Linked DNA regions of Drosophila melanogaster. Changing the gene in region 3 together with the main gene of any one other region gives a genetic interaction. Each region holds a gene or a part of one and is shown on either strand. Other genes may lie near its edges.

Region 1 (6,117 bases), on a different chromosome or scaffold from region 3:
TTGACCCCCGTGCGAATTAGCCACCCCTTGAACTACCTGAACGACCGCCTGTCTGCTCCAAGGCGCAGGATTCAGAAAGGAACTCGAACCCGGTGGTTCGGAGTGGTTCATGCTGTGCATATTTCGGTAACAGCAAGCCAGAAGCGAGAGCAAGAAGTTTCCAAAAAGAGAAGAAGAAACAGAGGGTACCAAGACCCAAAAACTGTAAGCCCGATTTATACGGCATGGAGTTTTTATGACGCCGATTGCCACTGGCAGCCAACATAAAATATGCCAAAAGGGAGGAGCAGCGGAGGTGCCGAGAAAAATGACTTTCTTTTTACTACATTTGTTTGACCGTAAACAAGAATTAATGAGAGTCATAAAACCGTCAAACTTAAATTTCGAACAGGCGCACAGCAAAGTCAGCAGGCCGTGTACAGTGGGCGCTCTATAAGGCGAACAAATGTTGAAACTCAAACTTTTTACCTAATGCATTAATTGCTACTAACGAAAACTATTTGAAATATTCGTTCGATAATTCGCTTATATGTTTCTTAAGAACTTAACTATAAGGTTGCCTTTATTTGGCTTTGTATCGAGTAACTACTGTACATGAGAAAAGTGAGATAGACACCCACACACACACACGCACAACCATGTGCGAGCAATGTGCTCGGCAATTACCGTTGCCCATGGAACACGGTACCAAAAAAAGGGAGAGAAAAGCGTTAAAAAGGGAAGAAGGAAAGGGAGAAGCGGAAGAGAAGTAACTGACCTGCGATCGGGAAGGTGACCTTCCCCAGGGGCGCCGACTATACATATGTTTGTATGTATGTACATAGGTGCAGGGTATACAGAGGTATATCACTGTACATATATTGTGTATTCAGGATTGATAAGAATGCAGGACAAAAGGACCTCCGTCCTTGGAAAAGGGTCTGCGTTCATCTCAGGCTGTCTGGTTTTTTTAGGGGTGTGGAAAATTTCTCACACTTATCAGCTGTCGGAAAGATTTCAAAACTAATGAAGTCACATGGCGGCACATTGCATGCAAGGTAAACACGAATATTGTTTATAAAATTATACAAAACTTTATTTTCTATGTATTGTTCAGAGACATTTTTGGGAAACATCAGTTAGTTAAAACGTGTTTTAATCGTTGCTTAGTGGTAAACAATATAACTAGCATAAGTTGTTTTTGTATGAATGTGCGAAATACATGATATAAATTACAAATAGTCTACGTCTCTTTTTTATGCGATTTATGGGAATAATTTTGCACAATTTTTTGGATTTATTCATTCCCATCGAAACTAAAAACTAACGACAAATACAATTAGTGATAGGTAGGTAGGGGATGAAATGATTTCACGGGTACAATTATAAAATATAATTCTTGGAGAGACAACGCCGATGTGTTCGGCCAGCAAATGAACTCGTTGCCCACTCTCTCTCTCGGTGTCCACCGCTCCGCCGCTCGCTCCCACTGAGATGGTGACCCAGCGAAAGGAGCTGACGGGCTCCAGTTTAGTTCGGTTCCTAGTCTTACCGGAGGAACTCACTCCCAGCGGCCGGCTCGCGAGCAACTTGTGCTCCGTGGGCAAAGATGCCGGAGCCAGCTCTTGGCAGTAGCCGAAAACTGCTCAAGGGACTCCAGCAGATTACGATATCTTAGGGATGGGTGATGCAGGTAAAGATAGTTGGCAATGCGACTACGGTAACTATACGCATTTTTTAACGAACACGAAACGAACAGAAAATGAAATACGCTACAAATTTAAAAATGAAAACAAATTAAACTAAACTAGGTAAGTCAGGGTCTTCCAGTCCGCCTTGGACCGCACTATTTCCTCTGGCTCTGGCCCACAATCGAGTCCATCAGCGCACCGGTCAGCTCCGTTCGCAGCGCGATCTTCTGGAACTTGCTGCCCTGGTACTTGTTGTAGATGGCCTTCAGCTTGGCCTGAGGAGCGTCCCGGGCCAGTTTCGCGATCAGCCGGGTAATCGGACGCAAGTGCGCGGCCGAGTATCGCGAGTAGAAGGTCAGAGTGGGCGTCCAGTGACGGTCGTTGAATCCTGTACCGGCCCGGTGGTTTCCATTGAGCAAGTGCAGCGACAGGAACAGTGAGGCAGCTGCAATCTAAAGGCGCCGCAAAAAATATTACATATACCTATGCTAAATAAAAGGGGATAGTGTATTGAAACCCACCTCCGATGGCCTGTAAGTGGCCATTTCGTAGTCCACGGAAGCTAACTCGATGAAGTACTTGGACATCGTATGGTGCTCGTCCTCGGCGCCAGCAGCCTTCGAGTAGCGTCGAAGGAAGTGAATCGGCAGCGGACGCGACAGATTACAGTCGATGGCCTTGAAGATTTGCAGCTCCATCTGTCGGATCTGCCGGGCAGTGTAGGTGTCGTCCGTGATGAAGACGAAATCTCCGATTGCCGGCGGGAACAGCTCCTCGTACTTGGTGGCTATGAAGAGTGCTGTCACTCCCACCAATTGCAAGTACGTGCGTTTGGTGTCCTTGACCACCTGCAGGTAGCGATCAATGATAGCCACCGCCAGCTGGAAGGTCTCTGCAGCCAGATGGAACTGCAGGTGGACTTCGTTGATCCAATCGATCAGCACGGCTCGCATCTTGTGGGACACCTCCTTCTGTCCGGCCAGGTGATCCTTGTGAATGGGCTGCTCCAGCTCCACCTGATACAAGTAGTCGTAGATGTCGTTTACATATTCGGAGACCAGTACCAGGTTCTCCTTGTCATTGGCATCAATGTCCTCGATTCCAGCCAAGCGCTTGCTGGAAAGGGACATGGTGGTGGGCATCGTAGATGTGGTCGTAGTGACTGCACTGTTGCCCCTAATAAGGGGCATCCTGGTCGCATCCTTTTTCACTTCCAGTGAGTCCTTCTTGGTTTCTGGCAGTTCCTTCTTGGTCTCTGCCTCTTTGCGGGAAACAGCTACTGGTTCCCGTCGAATTCCTGAAACTCCCATCACGGGTTTGGCCAAAGCGGCACGCAGTTTGGTCAGCGACTTCTTCGACAGATTGCTGTCCTCGCGCTTTAAGGTGGGCTCGTTCACGTTCTCGGAAGAACTGGACTTGACTGTAACTTTGGGGATTCAAGATGAATTGGGGTCAGTATGATGCAAGCCATTCAAAAATTGGAAATGGTAGATGATGATGATTGGTAGATGATTGCTCTTTTGCTTACCTTTAGTGGGTTCTACAGTGGTCTTGGTCGGAACGCGATTGCGCACCGAATTCGAACGCAAAAACGCCGACACGCCCCCCTCGTTGACCTTGGGCGGAACGGCGCCATTGCCATTGCCATTGGTGCTGCCCAGTGGCTGTTTCTTCCAGTGGCTGTCCACCCGAGCTTTGGCATTGCGCAGGGCGTCTGTGAGCTTGAGATCCTTGGAGCTGCTCGGTGGAGTAACCACATGTGATTGCGAATGGAATACTTGATACTGGTTCAAACACTTACTCTTTCTGTGCCGCATCCTTCGCTGCGATGGGACGACTTATGCCGCGATTCTGCAAATCGCCCAAGGCCGCGCGTTTTGTTGTTGCCTCCATGGAAGGAACCGTCAATTTCTTCAATTGCACTTGCTTGAAGTTCTCCGAAGCGTTCTATCGAATATTGTTTAATTAGTTTTAGAAAACAAATGGAGAAGTGCAACAAGTATAGTTGAATGCATATCTGCACTTTGAACCCTATTCTTTAACATCTTTAATTATTGAGCACTGATTTTAATTATTTTAAATTGTTAAAGCAAGATCAGTTTGTTGCATAATAATGACTTGATCATGAAATGCACCTTTTCAAGGGCGGCCATTTTGGGAAAAGCACCGCAAGACTGATCCTCGATTTATCTCCTCTGTGATTTGGTGCGAAAAATAGGTGTGGAGAGTACTAATTAACGGTGCAAGCACCGCCGGTAGAAAATTGCGCCAAAATGTGAGCAAGGCAACTGCAACAACGACAACAATGAGCGCCCGGGACAAACGGCACTCTTTCTTTTCCCCCTCCCTTCACACACTCATCGCACTATCGCAGCGTCCTCTTTGCCCCTCTCTACATGACCACGCTGCAATGGCGTCTCGCTGATGACGAGCCCACTAGTTTGTGACTTTACCATGACCTTTTCGCGGATGCCACGGTAATCTTAATGTTCTAGGGATCAACTCACCTCATCGCCACGCATTTTCAGTGTTGTGCCCACCATTTTGATTGCTTCTTTTCTATCTGTACAAACACAATTAACACGAAGATAGGCAGACGCTTGGCTATCACTTGGTTTGGTTGACTTTTGATCGCGTTTCTGTGACCGAACGCTTGTTTAGCTGTTGAATTTGTTGTCCGAATATATGATTACTAATAGTTTATAATTTACAAGTCGAGTGCGGGATTGTCAATTCTCCGAAAACCTGATCGAGTTTTTGCACACGAAGCGAGGCCAAGCTGCCGTTTGAATTTGAAAATGGGAATGGGGATGGAAGTAAACTCGATGATAAATGCCGATGAGTTTGACGATATCGATTTCTGGACTTAGTTCCCTTTTAAGCCGCAGTGGCGCTCGAGAATAATCGATTTATTAGAGCAGAGCATGCAAAATAGAGATGCGATACGTGCGATAATTTTCGATAGTTTTAGTGTGACCAGTACTGGTGCACAGCTTATCGATGACAGGGCTGAAACAGTGCTACCCATAAATTTCAAATTTAAATTTAAAATTAGCCGAAAAAGAAAACGTTACAGTTTGAAATTTCTGTTAGATATTCAAGCTCAATCCATTTTATACATATTTTAAAAATGAAAACTTCATGGATTAAATTTGATAGTTGGTTAAGGTTCCCCATTTTAATAAAGCCATCGCTTTGACTGCCAGTCGTCACTCGGTTGCACCATCCATTGATTGCATCAATTAAAAGTTGATCACTTCAATTGGCTGTGTTCGGTTTGTTTTTGTGCCCCCCTGATTTGCATTCGCTGATTTAAGATTTCCTGCTGCCACAGGCCGCAGAACATCGAAACTCCGCGGCGGAAATGCAGCATAATTCTTGCCACTCCGCAGCCTTTTTTGCTGATGATCAGTGTCAAGTTTTCGTCTGCTCCATCATTTTCAAGCACTTGACCACAAAACAATCGCCATCGCCTCAGAATTTTGCCTCTGTTTTTGTTTAGTACCCCAAACTCTCCTGTTTTTTTTTTGTGGCCCTTTGCTGCGTCTTAACGGTTGGCGCATTCTTCTTCTCTTCTTCCGGCGCTCTGGCTCATTAGCATATATTTATGAGTCTGTTTGCGCTCCAAAAGTACTTTTGCGAACTCCGGCCAAAAAGCCGAACGAGAATGGAGCGCCAGCCGACGATCGCGAGCTCGAGTTTTCCGTGATTTTCACATTTCATTCGCAAAAGTGCCGCCGTCGCGAGTGGTTGCCTCGCTCTCGCCGCCTCTTTCTGCGCTTCTGTCGCCGTCTCTTTCGTCGCCACGAAAAAAGTCCTTCGATCGATCCAACGCGCATTGACCTCCAGTAAATCGTTTCAAATTTTAAATGCCCCAAAGCGGTCAGATTTCGGCGTGATTTAGCGATTTTTAGTTAAAAAATATACATATAAAGTGCTTTTCGGCTATGGACATAAAACCAGAAGATCGTTATGCTCCAGAGCCGATGATCTATATGCCGTGTGTGTTTGTTGCTGGCTGCTTAATTGTGCGCTGGCGTTTAAATAAAATCAAGTGCGTTTAAATGACAAAAGACTGGCATTATATGTACAATATATTGGCAATTCAGAACTGGAGCTGGAGCTAAAATAGCATTTTTCAAGCACCATTTGGTCTTATCTCGAGTGTCGATCCATAAGGAAGAACTTAGGCAACAAACTAAAGTACACCAGCCACTAAAATAAAACGAAACATAAATAAGATAGAGTGCAAAAAAAAAAAAAAAGTGGCCCACAACAAATGACTCGTAATGCAATGCCTGGGCAATTAATTAGTGCATAAACATTTGAATTAACAGCCGTAAAAGTTGGAGCCCCGTACACGATCGCGCCTTCATTTGGCTCTCTCTCCCCTTTTGAGAAATCGGGCTCCAAGTTTTCCACCCTCGATTTTCGCCGCTGGAAAATG
Region 2 (7,164 bases), on a different chromosome or scaffold from region 3:
ATGTGGCTGATAGAGTCCAATCGACTGTGGCATGGCAATACTAGTGCCAGTCTCCAGGCGGACGACATGCACTTCATAGAGATTGTGCGCACGTTGCTGCAGATATTCGACGACAACGTGGAAACCTACTGGATAGCAAAGGGATTCTACAAGTACACCCGCGAACTGAAGAAGGAGTGCGTCAAGCTGAAGGAGCAAACGCAGAATATACTGAAGCGCGAAGATTTGTCCTTGCTTAAGTGAGTTTGCATATGGTTAGTCGGGTTATTTGACCAATTTTCTTCGATTACTCCTTATAGTCACCTGGAGCTTCTGGGCCTGTTTGATGGCAACTCAACGCTACTGGATAACTGGTATATAACCTGCTTTGCTGGAATAATCTGTACAACTCATTTGGTCAAGATATGGGACAAAGTCTGTGGAGGGTCCCGGAAGATTGTTGTTTTCCTGTTTGTAGAACTAGTTAAGGACATAAGGTCCTCGATACTAAAGCAAACATCTTTAGCAGACGTCAAAAGACTTATAGAAACGGTAAGTAAATAAGGAAACCATTTGCTAAGCCATAACTTATCCAAAATTTGCCTTAGGTAAAGGATCTTGACGGTGTTATTATCGTAAACAAGGCCATCAAATCACTACAAAACAACAGCAGCGAAGTCGAGTACACGCACTAAGTAAATCTACACTTTTATATTGGACATGTATATAGCAGAATGAACTAAATGTATTTGAAGACCACGTCCTTTTTATCGCCCACCGTTTGCAGTTCCAAGGTCACTGGACACTGCATCCAATAGGAGAGCAGCTCCTCCGTGTAACCAATAAGGAAGTACATTTTTCGCGGTGTAATCGCCTGCCGAATAAGGGCCGCGATCCTAATGGTGTTGTGCTGTCGCTTGATAATGACCTCGGAGCAGACGAGGGCATGCCATGTGCCGGTGACAAACTTGCGGATGAACACATCCTCTATGGCGGTCTGGGACGGACGCAGGGCATCCTTCATTGTTGCTAAGATAGAAGGTGGCCATCAAAATGCTTCCTTAATAAAATTTTCTCACAACTTACACGTGTTCCATGAGTTCCACGATTTGCGGTGGCCAATAAAATGCGGCGGATTGGCCATCTCGTAGGTAAGAGGCCTGTTTCGCTTTGTGGTTATGCGGTATCGCCCGGATTGCACGCGACAGCACACGGAGCTGGTGTGGAATCCTGACCGGCTGAGCTGCTGCACCTCGGTCGCCACCTGGGGCAACAGCTGCAATAGATTAGGTTATTTTAATATATAATTTGTCCTGTTTGTTGTTATTTAACACACCTTTTTCAAGAAGTTCATTATTTTGCGGCAGAAACAATTTTGCGTCCAGCAACAGCTGATTGACGTGACGTAACGGTTCGCTAGAGATGGACAAATTTATAGATAAGTATTCGATATTATTATTGTGTAGTGAAAATATTTTCTATAAAATAAAAAACAACATTGAAGGAAGTAGTTAAATAAAAACACAGAAAGATTAATTTTTAGTTGTGTAAATGCCCTTTTTAGTTCTTAAATGCAATACTTGGATCTCTATTGCATTGATTAAAATCGATTTTTATTTTGTTTTAAAGCGGGGCAGAGTTGTCAACAGTTGTCGGTGGGAAAATGTAATAATGTAATGTAATAAAATTATTGCACGCTTATTTAAAATATATAAATAAACAACATTTTGAGAGCTTCCTTAATAAATAGAGTTAACTTTGTATTAATCCCTTTATTCGAAAGAACTTTGACTGATCATTGAACTTGGGCAGAACTAGCTATAAATTAGCTTAATCGGTAGCACTGGAGCGCTGAGCCTGCGCGCTTGGAAAATGGCTTAAACGCAGGCCATCTCAAACAAAGATCGAGGATCTCAGATCAGAAGGAACTACCTGTTGAAGCGACCGTGCAACAGGACTCATCCAGAAGCAAAGCTGCAAAGGTTTATTCCCAGAATCCCTGGTATCCGAATGCACTAATAGGTGAGGATACATTCAAAGTAATGACGCTGAACGAGAGCGACGCTACTCGCCTGGAGCTGACGCGCAACTTCCTGGAACTGTCTCGAAATCCGGAAACATGCACCGCCCTGCGCAGCTCGGACTGTATCCAGCTTCTGGTGCAGATTCTGCACGCCAACGACGAAGGCCTCTCCACGGCGAAAAAGTACGCCAGCCAGGCGCTGCACAACATCGTCCACAATAATCCGGAGGAGAAGGAGCGCCAGCGGGAGGTGAAGATGCTGCGCCTGCTGGACCAGATCCTCGACTACTGTAACTTTCTGCACACCCAGTTGCAGAGCGGCGGTGAGGCTATCGCAGATGATGAAGATCGTCATCCGCTGGCGGCTATGAAGCTCCTGATGAAAGCCAGTTTCGACGAGGAGCACCGCCAGACTATGTGCGAACTGGGAGCCCTCAAGGCGATTCCCAATTTGGTCCACCTTGATCATGCGGTCCATGGACCGGCTGCCGGTAGGGAACAGTGCAACGCCCTCAGGAGCTACGGCCTCATGGCCCTCACGAATCTCACCTTCGGAGACGAGAACGTCCATAACAAATCGTATCTGTGCGGTCAGCGACAGTTCATGGAAGTGGTCATTGCTCAATTGAACACGGCTCCGGATGAACTGCTACAGGTGAGTTTAATCTTGGAGATTAAGAAAAAAAGATCGTAATTTAATTACCGTTGATCTCATCAGGTTCTTGCTGGTGTGCTTCGCAATCTTTCGTGGCGCGCGGACAAACACATGAAGACTATCTTTAACGAGCTGGGTACTGTGACCTCCTTGGCTCGAGCAGCCATGCAAAACAAGAACGAGAACACTCTCAAGGCCATACTTTCAGCCCTTTGGAATCTCTCAGCGCACTGCAGCACCAACAAGGCGGAGTTTTGTGCAGTAGACGGAGCACTGGCATTTTTGGTCGGAATGCTTAGCTACGAGGGTCCGAGTAAAACTCTTAAGATCATCGAAAATGCAGGCGGCATTCTTCGAAATGTATCGAGCCATATTGCGGTGTGTGAGCCGTACCGACAAATCCTAAGACGGTACAATTGCCTTGCCATTCTGTTGCAACAGTTGAAATCGGAGAGCCTAACCGTGGTAAGCAACTCCTGCGGAACTCTGTGGAATCTCTCGGCGCGCTGTCCCGAGGACCAGCAATACCTCATTGACCACAATGCCATCCCGCTCTTGCGGGCCCTAATCAGCTCCAAGAACTCCATGATTGCGGAGGGCAGTGCCTCGGCTTTGAAAAACCTAGTTAATTTCAGGGCCACTCAGGAGCTTATGCCCAATGGAGATGGTGGGTCACTGCCACTAGACAAGGAAGCTGGCCATGGAGGTACGCTGCCACGGAGATTCAGCTCACTGCGCCTAAGCTCAAATCCCACGGGATCGCTTAAGAAAGTGCGACCCTCAACAGTCAGCACAACTGGCTTTCTGAACAGAAAATGTGAGAGCCGAGAGTCCATTTACTCGGGCAAATCCGATTCCACTAAATACTCAACCAAGTCGGAGGGAGCGAAGAATCCCTTCGAAATTGTGACACCCACTGAAGAGCAGCCCATTGACTACTCCATGAAGTACATGGAGCACAAACCCAATAGCAGTAAGACCTTTGAGATCGACTTGGATCAGCCAACGGATTTCAGTGCTAGATATAAGGAGAGACGATCCGCTCAGACGGCACAGCCGGAGCTGAAGTCGGAGACCAATGAGATTAGAAGTAAGGAGTTGCAACTGACAAAGTCCTCCTCGGCCACGGAGCTGCGCAATAGTCCTGGCCTGGTGGCGGTTTCAGCAGCTAAGCAGAAAATTGCCACCGAAACGGAGACGGAAACGGCAGAGCGACCAATAAACTACTGTGAAGAAGGGACTCCCGGCAGCTTCAGTCGCTTCGACTCGCTCAACAGCCTCACAGAGAAACCGGAGAAATGTATGCCGCCAAAAACTCCAACGAAAACTGCGGTTCTCCCGGTGCACGTTGACGGAAATACGCCTCAAAACATCGATTCCGCACTAGAAACTCCATTAATGTTTTCGCGTCGCAGCTCTATGGACTCATTGGTTGGCGACGACGAAACGGTTGCCTGCGAGGACAATGGATCCGTGATCAGTGAATACAGCCGGATGCAGAGTGGTGTTATTTCCCCCTCAGAGCTGCCCGATTCACCCACCCAGAGTATGCCTCAATCTCCGAGAAGGGACAGAAAAGTGTCCACTCAAAATAACTTGGACACACCTGAACAGAAGCCCAGTACTGTGTTTGAGGACAAGTTGAACAGATTCCACGTGGAGCACACGCCTGCTGCCTTCTCCTGCGCCACCAGTCTAAGTAATCTGAGCATGATGGACGACTCTAATGCAAACGCTATTCGAGGACAGCGTGGAAATGACATCAACGGCAATGGGGATGCTCCTCGCAGCTATTGCACAGAGGACACTACTGCCGTGCTTTCCAAAGCGCCAAGCAATAGTGATCTGTCCATTTTGTCCATCCCGAATGATCTAAATGCGAATGAAGCGCAGCCAGTGCCTGCTCCGCGAGCTGATGTTACCGGAATGGACACTCGGATGCCGGCAGAAGATGCAATCTCTAAGATGCGCTGCGGTGGCAATGCATTGCCCAGTTATCTGCCAGTGTCGGATGAAATGAGCAAGTACTATGTCGAGGACAGTCCCTGCACGTTTTCGGTCATCTCGGGACTATCCCATCTCACTGTTGGCTCTGCTAAGGCTGGGCCTGTTCTGAAGCTGCCAATGAGGACTGCAGAAGAGGCTCAGGCACCCAAACTTCCTCCCAGACGTAGTGCCGTTCAAGGAGATGCGGAGCCACGCTTACCGCCGAAGAAAAGCGACTCACTGAGCTCATTGTCCATGGACTCGGATGACGACTGTAATCTTCTAAGTCAGGTGAGAAAAGGATACTTCATTCAAAACACTTGATATATTTCACCATATAAACATTTTGTGAGAGACTCACTCAAAAATAAGTGTCTTTGTAGATTTAGCAATCGGAATGTTGATATTTCACAAAAGTTAAATTTAAAATGCAGTCAGAAAATTCTCGCTAAAATCAGAAATATTAAAGTTGTTCCCTCTTTTTATAGGCCATTGCTGCGGGAAGTTGTCGACCTCAGCCCAGCGGTGCCAGTACCAGCTCCAGCCTGGCGAACGCTAGTACCAGCACTCTATGCAGGGAAAATGGGCAGTCAAAGAAGCAGGTGGAGCATGGCGATAAGCCGAACTACAGCTCAGATGACTCGCTAGACGACGACGACGATGATGCACGGTCCAAGTCGCTATTTGAGCAGTGCATTCTGAGCGGCATGCATAAGTCCAACGACGCCTTGGAGTCGGAGGGTGAGCCGCCGGGGCAGCGCCAGGAGATCAGTGCCCGGGATCGATTTGTCAGTAACCAGGTGCGCCAGATTGAGTCCATGTTGGCTGGGCGTCAGCACTAGAAGCGGATGGTTGGTTAATTGAGAAGCGCATGCATTTGTTTAGTGGCTTTTAATCTTGTCTACGCAATAATATTCTCACGGTCTCAATTTTCCTATAGTTCAGATTAAAAATTTGCACTTAAATTTAACTCTCCAACACGTGTAATATTATGTTTACCCTCTCACTAAACAATTAAGGAAACTAAAAAGGGTGATAAGAAATGGGATACAGTCGCGGTATAAATATAAATAAAAGTTGCGATCAACTGAGGTCCGGGTAACTCCTAACATGATGCTACTGTGATGAACTAGCTAGAGAGCTCAGTAGAAACGTTTTCGCGCGTTGCGATCCTTGAAGTAGGAGATGGCGAAGATGGCCACTGCAGCCGCCACGACAACCACGAAGAGAAGGATGAAGAAGATCTTGGCGTTGGACATTCCCGGCTTGGGATCTTCTTTGTGCTCGCGCGGGGGCTCGAATGTCTTGGCATTCGGTATGATATTGGAGCGCCGGATAATCTCATCGTGCTGCGAACAAGAAAGAAAGTAAAAAGATGGTTATTGCAACAAGAAAGTAAAACTGGTTTTCAGTAATATGATATAAATATTATAACACACGGCTTATAAAGATAAACATGATTAGGCATCAAACAATGTGTTTAAAGCCAGCTGCTTAATTATTACAAGTTGCAGCAATTAAAAACAAGTTCACTCTTTTTTCTTTATACGTATACGCAGTTATTGAAACTTAAGTCCGCTTTTGGGTTCCTTGCACTCCTTATCGCGTTAGCCAAATAGCAGACAGCTGAGTAATGCTTACTTCGCTTCCGAAGTTTGGCAAACAAAAGTGAACTTACATTTACGTTCAAGTCCAGGTCATAGAACTTGAAACTGTGAATATCGTGATTGTCGGACAGATCACCCGTCGTCGCAGACATGCCGAAGTGGTAGCCCGTGGGTAGCTCAACGTTGGCCACTACAAAGCAGTTCTTCCATTCGTTGCGGTTCTCCAGATCTGTGGAAACCGACAGAATGTCGTTTTCGTATCGAATGCTAACCAGCGTCTCGTACTCCACATTGCGGAAACGAACTTCGCAGCCGGCCAGCTGAGTGTGCGTTCCATCGCGATCGTGGTCGTAGCTCCAGCTGCCATTGTTCACCATGGCGCTGAGATATGGATGTTGGTGCTACAAATATAATGTTAATACATTTACATTCAATGCCTTGCGTAATGACATACGTTGTGTGGACCATTGTGATTGCTATAGGTGTCCAGAATGATGGCCAGTCCGGAGAAGTGATCCTTGCTGCCAAAGACCGGCCCGGTTTGCATGCGCTCCTTTGTGTACCAAATGGCAAATCCGTCGCCGAACAGTTCAGTTCCCTTGCCGTGCACCTTAAAGCCAACGTGCACTTCCCAATTGCGAGTCATCACGGGCTTTGGATTAAACATTAAACATCAATAACTATTGAACTGCAAAAAGTCGCTGAGAGAGACCAACTCTCCTGCTTACCGAGTAGTTCCAAAGTGCACCGCTCTTGGACTGTAAGTCCGGCGTCAGTCTTATATAGTTGCTGGTCACCATCGTGTTACCCAGGAAGTCCCAGTGTGGCAGGATCACGCCTACGCCTGCAATAGAGCCCAAGCCATGTTAGAGATACACGTACACTCCGTATCATCAGTGACCAATTACCAACCT
Region 3 (5,479 bases):
CGATGACGCCCTCGGGTTCCATGCTGGCGGGGCCATCCTGAGGTATCTCATTTCGGTCATCCCTGCAAGAAAGCGAGAATGCGTTAGTGGGGCGGAACAGTGGAAACAACAACAAAAGCAGTAGCGGGACGGGGGTAAAAAATTTTCCAGCCACAATTGTTGGTTATGGCGAATGGCAGAAAAGCGAAAAGTAAGTAAGGCTGGTGGAGGGAGAATCGAAAACCGCGAGCGCCGCTTGGCAACCACTCACATTATCAACAATAAAGAATTGACTAGGTAAACTTATATCCTGAATTTCGACGGCTTGGGCCCGGTTCACTCAATCAACTGTTTGCCTATTTGTCTAGAACGAATAACGGAGAATTCGGGCCGAACGCCGACTGTGTTGTTTTCTCGAGCTATCGAGCGCTTTGCTTTTAGTCCGTTACGTTTGTGCTGCGATGCGCTCTGCGAAGCGGTGACTTTACGTATGAGACCGAAAGCGATAGCTAGGCAGCCTTTTTGAGCGACAAGCGGCGAGAGTCCGCCCCTGAGCGTGTGCGAGCGGGACGACCCTAGTGTCGTTCGTGTCAATGTCAACGGGCGAGAGCAGCCGAGCGATATTAGCACGTAACAGTGGCGCCAGTGTTGCCTAACACCAGTTGCGAATGGTAGTAGTTGATCGAAAATAGCAGTAGTTTTGACAGTACGGCGGGGTGGGGATAGAAAAAAAAAACCGACTGACAGGCAAATATTCCAAAGCAAATCGAAAATTGAGTTGGAGCAAGGCTAAATCAGCCCACGAATGCCGTCGTCCACTAAAGATAGAATCAGCGGTCTGCGTCATTGTCCAGTCATGAGTCAAGCGAACGGACGGACGAGAGTGCATAAAATCCAGTCAAGTGGCGACACCGACGTCACCGGACTTCAACAAAAGTCCCCAGTTCGGAGTTCTAGGTTTCGCCAAGGCGAAGGGGGAGGGGTGCAAAGACCGAGTCCAGCAACAAAACTCTCTTGGAGCAACCACTGCGCTCGCTCTCTCTCGCTCGCATGGTGGCTGCCTCTCACTCCCACTCCCTGCACTGTCATACGGGCGTGTAATTTTTTTCCACTCATTTTGACCGTCAGAAATTTAAAATCGCGTTTTTTGCATTAAAACACGCGGAAATTATGCTAAGCAGTTGCGGAATCGATGCGGCACAAGATCGCCTTGCGGCTTTTTACATTTCAAACGCTTAATCTAGGGTATATACTAACATTTTCTGAAAATTATTTGGCACTTTTTATACACGTGCTGCTACTGATTTGTTAAAACCAAGCAAAAGAGGCTCCATCTTGCAAAAGTTTTAGTGATGTAAGAAAACATTAGCGACTATCGATAGATCGATCGCCAACTATCGCCAGATGTTAGCGGATATCCGGCAATTTCGCTGCGGCTTCGCAGTGTGTATGGTAAAGAAAAACAAAGCATAAAATAATGCAAATATTTTGAATTCAATTTGTATTATTTTGCACTTTTTTACGTTATTTTGGAGGTGCCACTTGAAGTTCAGGGCTGCAGACCCAGAGCTGGGGTGCCTGACTTCGCTATTTTATTTGCTATCGATATTACGCCCATCAAAGTTTTCCACCAGTATAAATATTTAAACCCGAATCTTATATTTGTTTAATAAATTTGATTGTAATATTGTTTTCCAACAGATTACATTCTCTTGTTGTAAAGACTTAATTGTAGTATTCAACCATTTGAACAACAACCTTATGTGAATCATATTATACAAATATATGAAAGTATGGAATTTTACATATGCTGCTATTCAGTGAACTGTTTTTAAATCGTGGGACTGGAACCGGCCAGCTATTTGTCTTAGTAGCTTAACGATCAGTGTTGTTTTGAATCTTTTTGAGTTTAAGTACAGTAATCTTATCTCATAGTACTCGAATGTGGAAGTGAATTTAAACTTTTCATGCCGCTGGTCTAACCGGGACTTACGAAGGCAAATAGCGAATACAATCGATTGCGAGGAATATCGTGATCGAATTTTGGCACACATCGATTGTTTCGAGCGAACAGCGACTTGTGTTCCAGTACTACCGCTTGTCGACGGTCACTCTGAATTTTTACCGCAGCGTGTGAACAGTGTGAGTGCCGTGGGTTTCCTGGAAATCCGTTTAGAAAGAGATTTCTCTAGACTTACTGAACGTGGGGTGGTTCGACAAAAATCGAAAACCGACCAACACTTTGGGTAAATTGCGTACAAAGCGACTTTCGTGCTGGGTGCACGCCTTAAATGGCGAAAACCCACACATGTACGCGCTACTTGGCCAACCGCGTTGGCTGTGCGTCGCCGTCTGCGGGTGTGTGTGTGTGTATGCCTGTGTGTATAAGTGTGCAAAAAATTAAGTGGGAAAAGTTCAGCAGCAGCCGGTCGGTATTCGGCATACGGCATTCGGTACTCGGTATTCCATTCGATTTGTCAAGCAGCCAATGCTAACATATTGCGGGTGCGGTGCAGCGCAGCACATTATGATATGTGAGATGGGATTCGAACATATAGGCGTTGAAATTAAAGGCTATTTTTAATTTATGACAGTTACTCAGTGCCGGCCAACAAAGTGACGATTCATAACACTCACTCGGAGAGCCGCCGTTGAGTCATCGTCTGCTCTCACTCGCTCATTTGCATTGTCCGCAGCCGGCTGATTAATAACGGCCCGCCTCGTACGACCGTCTCGCTCACACACCCACTCCAGGCGCACCGTTGCACTCGCCCTGGCTACGGCTCTCGCTCGCTCACTCTCTGCCCCACTCGAAAGCAGTGGCAGTGGGTGAGTGAACGGGTGACTCACGGCTTGGAATTGAGCGCTTTGGAGCAGAGGCAAGGCAAGCAGCCCCCTGCAGCGCGCACTCTTTCGCCACTCTCTCTCCATCTCTCACTCTCTCGAGTGGGTTTTCTCGAATTCAAAATCGGTTTATGGTTCTGCTTTGCGCTCATTCGACTTTTGAAATCCGCCTCGAACGCTTCGAAAATTCCCAGCGAGTCGGACGTGTGTGTGGAGCTGCGGCGTACGGTTTCTGTTTCTGTCTGTCTTGGTCTCCTTGGTCTTGCTCTTGCTCTTGGTCTCATCCCCCGTGCGTGTGTGTGTATATATGTGAGTTTTTCGGAGGCGGAAAATTAGGCGCTTTGTGCAATGCATCACAATCAAAATCACTAGATATATATACTTATATGTATATACATAAATGTGCATAACACAATTCCGCCGATACCCGGTAATTTGTCAAGGGCGGATGCAACACCCACTGCCGCATGATAAAATACGATACGATTTGATAAATGTTAATCCATCTCTCTCTCTCTCTCTCTTTCTCCACCTCTCGTTGCAGTTGAAAGTAAGTTACCCCAAGAAAAAATCGTCGGTGTTGCGGTTTTTCTTTGTCTCCCTGCCAATTTCGTGTGACCCCCGAAACGAAAGTGCGACTCGCCGTGCGGTAAAGCAACAGCGATCCATATCCAGATCCATATATATCAGTTCAACTTAATCCGCACCCACGACAAACAAAGCACCATGAGCTGGCAAGATTATGTGGACAACCAACTCCTGGCCTCGCAGTGCGTGACCAAGGCGTGCATCGCCGGCCACGACGGCAACATTTGGGCGCAGTCCAGTGGCTTTGAGGTGAGTACGTCGAACGGAATGGACTAATGGACGGAAAGCGGTTGGGAAAACCCATAGAATGGAATTCGGACGGAAAAACGGATAGTTGACAATGAATTTTCGCAAGTTCAAGGGTGTGACTCTCGCGCTGTCTTCCTCTCGCGGCCGCCATGATAACTTTCATTTGATAAAGAGCAACTCCCACCCCTTCGCCCTCGCCCTTGTCAGTTTCACCCCCTGCAGCGCCACTCCTGCGCAGGCCCGCTACCCCCTCCTCTCCCGCCTACGCTTTTGAGGGAGTGTGCGTGATCATACAACCCAGCAGGGAGACCAATTGGGCGACCTAGCCGATACGGATGGATTTCTGTTTATCGGTGACTAAGGAGGTGCAGCTTCGCTTCGCGGTAATCACCAATGCACTTGCATGCGGCGATGAGTGTGTGGTGTGGAGAGCGGGGGCGGGGCCGGGACCGGGAAATCTGATATCAGCGCAGCCGGTTCGAATGTCTGCGGTGCTGTGCAACACTGGTTCCTGATAATGCAGCCCACAGGCGCCTGGCATCAGCCCCACCCCTTCGCTATCGCTCGCCTTTATCGCACTCAATACAGACGGACCGTTTCCTCTGCGGCGACGGCCAAAATAAATGCTCTTTATCGGAGCGAAATACAGAACCAAACAGAACAGAACCAAAATGAAACGAACAGAAGTACAGAAAATATCTTGAGCATGCGATGCCGCGTCACCAGCGCAGAGTGAATCGAATTGAGTGGAGTTGACTCCGCTTCGGCTTCTTTTACTGATTTCGATTCTGAATCTGAATCTGCTACCTTCGAATGCGAATGCTCTGAGTATTTCTCGTATGCGCGCCACGTTTTCGCCCTTTTGTGAGTGTGGCTGTCTGTGTGCGTGTGCAACTTCCTGTCGACTCCGAATCCGAATACAAATACGAATCCATGTGCTCTTATCCTGCTCGCTCTCCCAGCGAGATTCCACTCGATTCGGGCAGCCACTCCCTAGTGCTTTGTCCGTCGAATGAAGTTCATCTCGCCGCTTATTAGATTAGGAACCGATTTTGGCCAAATTCGATCCGCTGCCTACGTCACCTCACCATCACACTCATTCTTTTATCTACCTGCCATTTCTGCACGCGCATCACTTTCGTTTTATTATCTCTCGCTGCCTTCGCAGGTGCCTTTGTTGTTTTTCCCAACTTCGCATTACCCAAGTTACCCAGTTTTGATCTTGATTCGGATGAATCATTGTGAATACTTAGCTTTTTCCTTTTCCGATTGATCAGCTGAGCTGGACCTTGTGAGAGAGTTGTGTTTTTGGGCTGCTAATAAAAGTTTATGATAAACACATTTATATACATGGCTTTGCATTGAGAAAACCGACTTTGGGTGACAGAATCTGAGTGCCATCGTGTGGCATGTTCATTCATTGAAAAACTACCAATTTAGGAGATTTTTGGCACTTGTGGAATTTTCGCTATCGCCGCATAATGAGCTCCGCTTAGTTATTAACGTTTTTGGCATAGCTGTCTACGCAAAACCGGCTTTTCGCGACTTTACTGCTCTTCTGCTCTGCTCTCCTCTTCGCATTTCTTTCTCTCACGCGACGCGAGTTGCGCTCAATGGAAACTTCTCGATGCCCAATTCGAGTGGCATTCGGATGTGTCACCGTTCGGCAGCCGCAAATGAGTAACTATCGGTTGTGCGAGATTTTCAAATTAATTTCCCCACTCACCCCCCGGCAAAAGCAGCTGTTACCTGGGGGATGGGGCTGCCAACTTGTTATGCATTTGACCAAGGCTATTGACATTGGTGCTACTCTCTCTCT
Region 4 (5,272 bases), 2.1 Mb from region 3:
GCTATCGCGATTCATATAGCAGTGACACCTCACCGACACAGGGACTCACCCACACCGATACCTTCGCACACACACACACACACACACACACACAAACGCGCCGAGGGAAAGACAGAGACAGATAGACAGTTGGGGAACATTCGCATCGGACACCGTTTGCAGAGCTGCAACTTTAATTGCTTTGGTGGTTTGTGCCAAATTAGATTCTGCGGTTTTGTCGCGTCGCCATTCCGGTAATCGAGGGTGTACTGTACAACGGGGGTCAGAGTGTGATGGGCAAAGTGGGGTATGCGGGATGGTGTCTTGGCCATGGCCTTTTCCCCAAACTCCGTCGAGCTGAAGCCAAAAGCTGACGCTGACGCCCATCAATTAAACTTGTCAATGAGAATGCGATGCAACAGCAGGAACAGCAGAAATAGCGACAAGAACCCGGGGAATAAGAACTAATGGTGACGGTATGGGGGACTTGGAGCTTAGAACAAGGGTTATTGAAGGGAGCTCGAAACCAAACTAAATCGACTGAAAGTTAACTACATTTCACCCGCTTCGCTGGCATTCAAATTAGGTTTCTGTTCGAGACGTGTATATTGGTAATTTGATTGGAGTTTTAGAAATTGAATTCTAGCATGTTTCAAGAAATAATTATCGGCGATGCCACGGAAATCCACGGAACTCTGTATATGAGTTGTGCCAAGAAGAAATGTTTAAATTGTTTTTGTTTATAAAAACTTCTTCTTAAAGGTCACTTGAATATTTAAATTTGCCACAGGCACCTGAAAATACTTCCAAATGCAATCAGCATGGTCCCAGGTATAAGTGGCTTTACATACGCAAGTCGTGCAAATATTATTCCACTTTCCGTTGAATTTGGAATATTTGCAAAAGAATCTAAGGAAAAATGCCTGGCGTCTTTCGAAATTTCCATTTCTCGAAAGCCGCCGGCCATTGACATGACTCTGCGGACTTATCCTGTTGTTCGGTCCTGTCGTTATGGACTCTGTCCTATCTACTATCTTAACAATTGTGCGCACCAAGAAATTGATTTATTTTTGTTTACGCCAAAACAGCAAAAAGTTTACCACATTTTCTGCTCCTTCTCTCCAACTTGCCGTTGGCCAAGTTTTAGTTGGCTTATTGCGTTTGCACTGAAAATCAGAAGTATGTTTCTCAGGATTATTCAATATTTTTCTAACAACTACTTGGCATTTAATTTCTGATATTCCCACGAGCTAAGTAGAATTTTTATTTAATACCTTTAAAGAAGTATATTTAATAGTACAAATTAGACCTAATTATCTTCTCTCTGTGCAGTGCTTTGTTATCCGCTGCTTGGGAACAGTCGGTCTAATCCTAATGCTCCCTAATTACATTGGCCAGCAAGTCAACACAGTCTAGGCCAAGTTTCCCCGCTGCCTATTTGAGTTGGTCATGTCGCTATCTGCTTTCCAGCCCTCTTATCATTTTTTAGACCCATCTTAAAGACACTCCTAATTATTGGCCCTCTGGCGCACAATGCGGCCAGTGAACTGGCTGTTCTGGATTTCTTTTTTTTTTGCCGTTGAGCCCTGTTTATGTGGTTCGACGACACCTGGCGACATCAATTAGGGGGCAGGAATGAGCTCTTCGAAATGGAAAATCGTGGGAAAGTGGCGCCTCATACTGGCCGACAAATGTCAAGATGGCTGCAAATCTCTTTTGCTCTGAAAATCTGAGGTGTTGATAAAGGTGCGATTGAAAAGTTTGATCAATGATACTATTTAAGATTGAAAAGGGTTTCTCGTTATATATTTAGGAAGCAATTTTTCACACTTATTTTTATTTAGTTTTTAATCTCTTACAGTGCCTGCATAATTTGTATGCTTTTTATGCGCAAACATACAGCGCCGCAGCTTAACAAGCATTTTTTTATTTATTTCCCTCATATAAAGAATAATTTTTTTTCCTTCTTCCGCACTGTGGAAATTTATGAAGGGCCCTCGAAATGGCCTACGACCTCTATTCTGCCCCCAAACACATTCCCCAACCCCCGTCAGGTTGCAGCTGGGGGGTGAAAAAAAAAAACGTGGAAAACATCAGACGAGCAAAATGGCGAGCAATAAAAATAATTGCAAAATTCGAGATTCAGGTGGGGGCATGCGGCACGCTTAAAGTGGCACCTCTCTTAGCCACGCCCCCAAGTTTCCAAACCTCTCGCCCCTATTCCACACTTGGCAAACAATGGTGAACAGTGAAACAAAATGTTCATTGCAGTGTAAAATCTGCGAATCGCGGTTTTCTTTTTTTTCACTTTTCCCTCGGTTTGTGTGTGTTTTCGCGTTTTACAATCTGTTTCGCAACTCACGTAAAATATAAGGTAATTTGTGGAAATTTGATGTTTATCGTAAATTGTTTTTTATTTGCACAATGTCACCATTTTGCGGTTTGCCAGCAGCGCAAACTCACACACACACGCAGACTGACAAGCAACACACACACAGGCACGCATTGGTGGTCAGAGTTGCCAAGCAGTCAAAAAATAAAATTCCACAAAAATTGAGTTTTAAAGTTGCGAAATAATTGAATACACTTTTTAAAATCAAAACAAAAATCTGTTAAGTGCAATGATTGTTAAAAATACTAGTGTTGTGCCTAAGTTGTAGTAATTAAAAATAATATATATGAAGATTATTAATTATATATTATACATATATACTGGTCTTTAAATCTGATAAATCATTAATGGTCATTGTTGTTTAATGCTCAGATAGGCAAAATATATTCAGTTTCTGTAAGAATATCTGACAGTCGATCTACATTTTTCCACCTTAATTGTGCGCACCGCAAAAAGAGCATAGATAGATGGTAAAAACAATTGCAAACATTTTTCAATTTACCTGCATGGCGGAGAGGACTTTCCTCCTTTTGTTGTTTACTCCATTTTTTATTGCGTTTTTCTGTGGGCCCAATATTTTGGGCTTAATTGTGGCACGAATACCCCATTGCAGAAGGGCTAACAATGTGATGGCTATGACCATCATAGCCGGATAGAGCTCTTCCATTGGATACACAATCATCTTACCAAAACGATATACAACAAAAAAAAGGAAACGAAAAATTACACAAATTTTGACAGAATTTTGTATGCCTAACCCAATTGAACGGTGTAGACGAACTGCTTGTTTTAAATTTCATTTTATTTACTTTATAATTATCGTATATTCTGATTTACATTGTATAATATATCGTATATCATTACTGTCTAGGTTTACAATTAAAATTAGTTTAAACTTTTGGTTTCGCACTAAAAAGGTCAGTAAAATGTTTCAATCGCCTGGCGTGAACATTTCTGTTCTCTCGGTTCTTTTTTTTTTTAAAAGCAGATTTAATAGTTTACATTTAGTTTGAGTAAAAATTATAGAACGAAAATGGACAGTTTAATATAGTCGCAGACTTAGACTAAAGTTATTGGCTATTTTGATCATATTTGGTTTTGGATTACCAGTACATCTTTGTTTATATCTAGGTGGATACTTGAAAAATGCGTGGGTGGTCTGAGTTTGTTCGGGGACTAAATAAAACTCCTTAACTATTTTTAAAACTATTTTTTTATTATACATAGTTAAAAGTAAGATCATTAATTAAATAAGAAATACCATTTATAGATGTATCTTACTCAACGCCACAGTAACCCATTCATAAAAATGCAGATATTATTCACTATTCTAATAAATATTTTCGATTATGTTTTAAACACATTTATTTCAAATTAAATTTCTAAACTCTTTGGTTTACTCTGTTTATCTATTTACAATGTCCTTAAATCTTTAATATCCATTAAATAGTTTTTATCGCTAAGAGAAATTTATGTAACCTTCATTCAAAAACGAAATTATTTTATTTTACTAAATTCCTTGCTTCCGCTTGCAATTATTCAAATAAAATACTGATACATTTTTCATTTTTAATGCTCACATATTACGTTTTTATTTTGTTTGTTAAAAGTATCAATTATGTGGATTTATTACTCAAATATTTCATAACAGAGCTAAACAAGTATTGGATTAAAGATAATTCCCCCTTCTTTTATACTTTGCTGTGCAATTAAATATTTTGTGTATTTTTACAATATCACTGAGTGCTCAAGGGTTTTACTAACAATCGAAAGCAAGCAAAGAATTCTGTACAACTGATTGTTTTTACAACCCATTTCGATTTTATAATTTTAGAGCGAAAAAAGAAAGCAAAAAGGAATTTGTATCATTTTTGTTTCATCCGCAAGTTGGGAGAAAGTTTTGCTATAGTTGGCTGATGATTTTTCGGTAATCACCTTTCACAAATGAAGGTGAAAAGTAAATAAAAGTATTTGTATTGAACTTTTCACCCAGTTGTAGTTTACAAAATCGGTTTTAAGCTTCCCGCAGTTTAAAATTTAATTCGAATTCGTTTTGATGTCTGTTGATTATTCCATTTGCCGGCTATTATGATTTTATTTTAAAGATTTTCTCTTTTTGCTAAAAGATACTGTTTCTATTTGAATTTCCATATTTTTGCGGTCTTGTATGACGCTGTGTAGATATTTTTTTTGTTAGCCTATTTTTATGTAAATGCAACTCACTTGGACTTTTGACTGGCAGTACTAAATTTTCAAGTTTTTTTTTTAGCAGTTGCAATTTAATGACTCCATGTTCTACTATTTACAGATTGCACAGTAAATAAATTGATATTGTGTGCTCTGATTTTGCCGAGCTGAATTGCACGGAGCTCTTTGTGCAATGGCAAATTAATTTGCAAATTTACACAATCTAATTTTAGGTCACCGAGGGACCCAGACGACCAATTGTTAATTTGTAATTACAATTTTTGCATTATTATTGCTTGCCGACAATGCGAACAATTGAAATTAGCAGCGCAATTAGTCGAACCGAGCAAACAAATATTCGTTCCAATTTAATGCCCCAATGGAGACAAAAGCTAATGAGGAGTCGAAAAACTTTTGCCAACCTTTCCCCTTTTTCGCATTGTGTCGAAGTTTGATTTTTATTGGTCATGTTTATTTTGCATTTTGGGCTGACTGGGCGGAAAAGCAATTAAATGAACATTTTGTCTCTTTTATTTGATTTAAACGAGAACAATTTCCATATTTAAAAAAAAAAATGCATAGAAACCTCAAAGGTGGCTTTTGTGTTTGGCTGTCGGTTTAACAATGATTTGACCAGAATATTATGGCGGTAGTTTTGCAGTTTGTCGCCATGAACCTCAATATTTTGGCCACAGTTTTGAAAAAGTATTATTA

What was found.
Region 1: of chic (region 3) and CycB, changing one suppresses a phenotype caused by changing the other (phenotypic suppression), as found in Drosophila melanogaster (one study listed by BioGRID).
Region 2: of chic (region 3) and Apc2, changing one suppresses a phenotype caused by changing the other (phenotypic suppression), as found in Drosophila melanogaster (one study listed by BioGRID).
Region 4: of chic (region 3) and capu, changing one enhances a phenotype caused by changing the other (phenotypic enhancement), as found in Drosophila melanogaster (one study listed by BioGRID).

Annotation. Positions count from the first base shown.
Region 1 is NT_033778.4:22,802,469-22,808,585, forward strand, and holds CycB (cyclin B), read right to left. Parts: upstream 4,481-6,117; 5' UTR 4,214-4,480; coding exon 4,178-4,213; intron 4,032-4,177; exon of another isoform or gene 3,824-4,031; coding exon of another isoform or gene 3,806-3,823; exon of another isoform or gene 3,618-3,805; coding exon 3,472-3,617; intron 3,408-3,471; coding exon 3,199-3,407; intron 3,097-3,198; coding exon 2,192-3,096; intron 2,123-2,191; coding exon 1,826-2,122; 3' UTR 1,053-1,825; downstream 1-1,052. UniProt on the Drosophila melanogaster protein: Essential for the control of the cell cycle at the G2/M (mitosis) transition.
Region 2 is NT_033777.3:24,162,153-24,169,316, forward strand, and holds Apc2 (adenomatous polyposis coli 2), read left to right. Parts: upstream 1-1,813; 5' UTR 1,814-2,021; coding exon 2,022-2,657; intron 2,658-2,720; coding exon 2,721-4,934; intron 4,935-5,131; coding exon 5,132-5,485; 3' UTR 5,486-5,785; coding exon of another isoform or gene 5,786-5,992; 3' UTR 5,993-6,112; downstream 6,113-7,164. Other genes in the region: TBC1d7 (TBC1 domain family member 7), read left to right, coding at 1-239, 300-531, 588-674; mRpS24 (mitochondrial ribosomal protein S24), read right to left, coding at 719-1,008, 1,066-1,255, 1,316-1,333; CG5510 (uncharacterized protein), read right to left, coding at 5,786-5,992, 6,322-6,651, 6,705-6,902, 6,979-7,094, 7,163-7,164.
Region 3 is NT_033779.5:5,977,593-5,983,071, reverse strand, and holds the start of chic (chickadee), read left to right. Parts: upstream 1-2,053; 5' UTR 2,054-2,119; exon of another isoform or gene 2,120-2,225; intron 2,226-2,590; exon of another isoform or gene 2,591-2,863; intron 2,864-2,970; exon of another isoform or gene 2,971-3,132; intron 3,133-3,367; 5' UTR 3,368-3,549; coding exon 3,550-3,660; intron 3,661-5,479. Other genes in the region: eIF4A (eukaryotic translation initiation factor 4A), read right to left, coding at 1-62, 1,237-1,238. UniProt on the Drosophila melanogaster protein: Binds to actin and affects the structure of the cytoskeleton. At high concentrations, profilin prevents the polymerization of actin, whereas it enhances it at low concentrations. By binding to PIP2, it may inhibit the formation of IP3 and DG.
Region 4 is NT_033779.5:3,899,722-3,904,993, forward strand, and holds the start of capu (cappuccino), read right to left. Parts: upstream 3,140-5,272; 5' UTR 2,874-3,139; intron 1-2,873. UniProt on the Drosophila melanogaster protein: Acts as an actin nucleation factor and promotes assembly of actin filaments together with spir. May play a role in intracellular vesicle transport along actin fibers, providing a novel link between actin cytoskeleton dynamics and intracellular transport.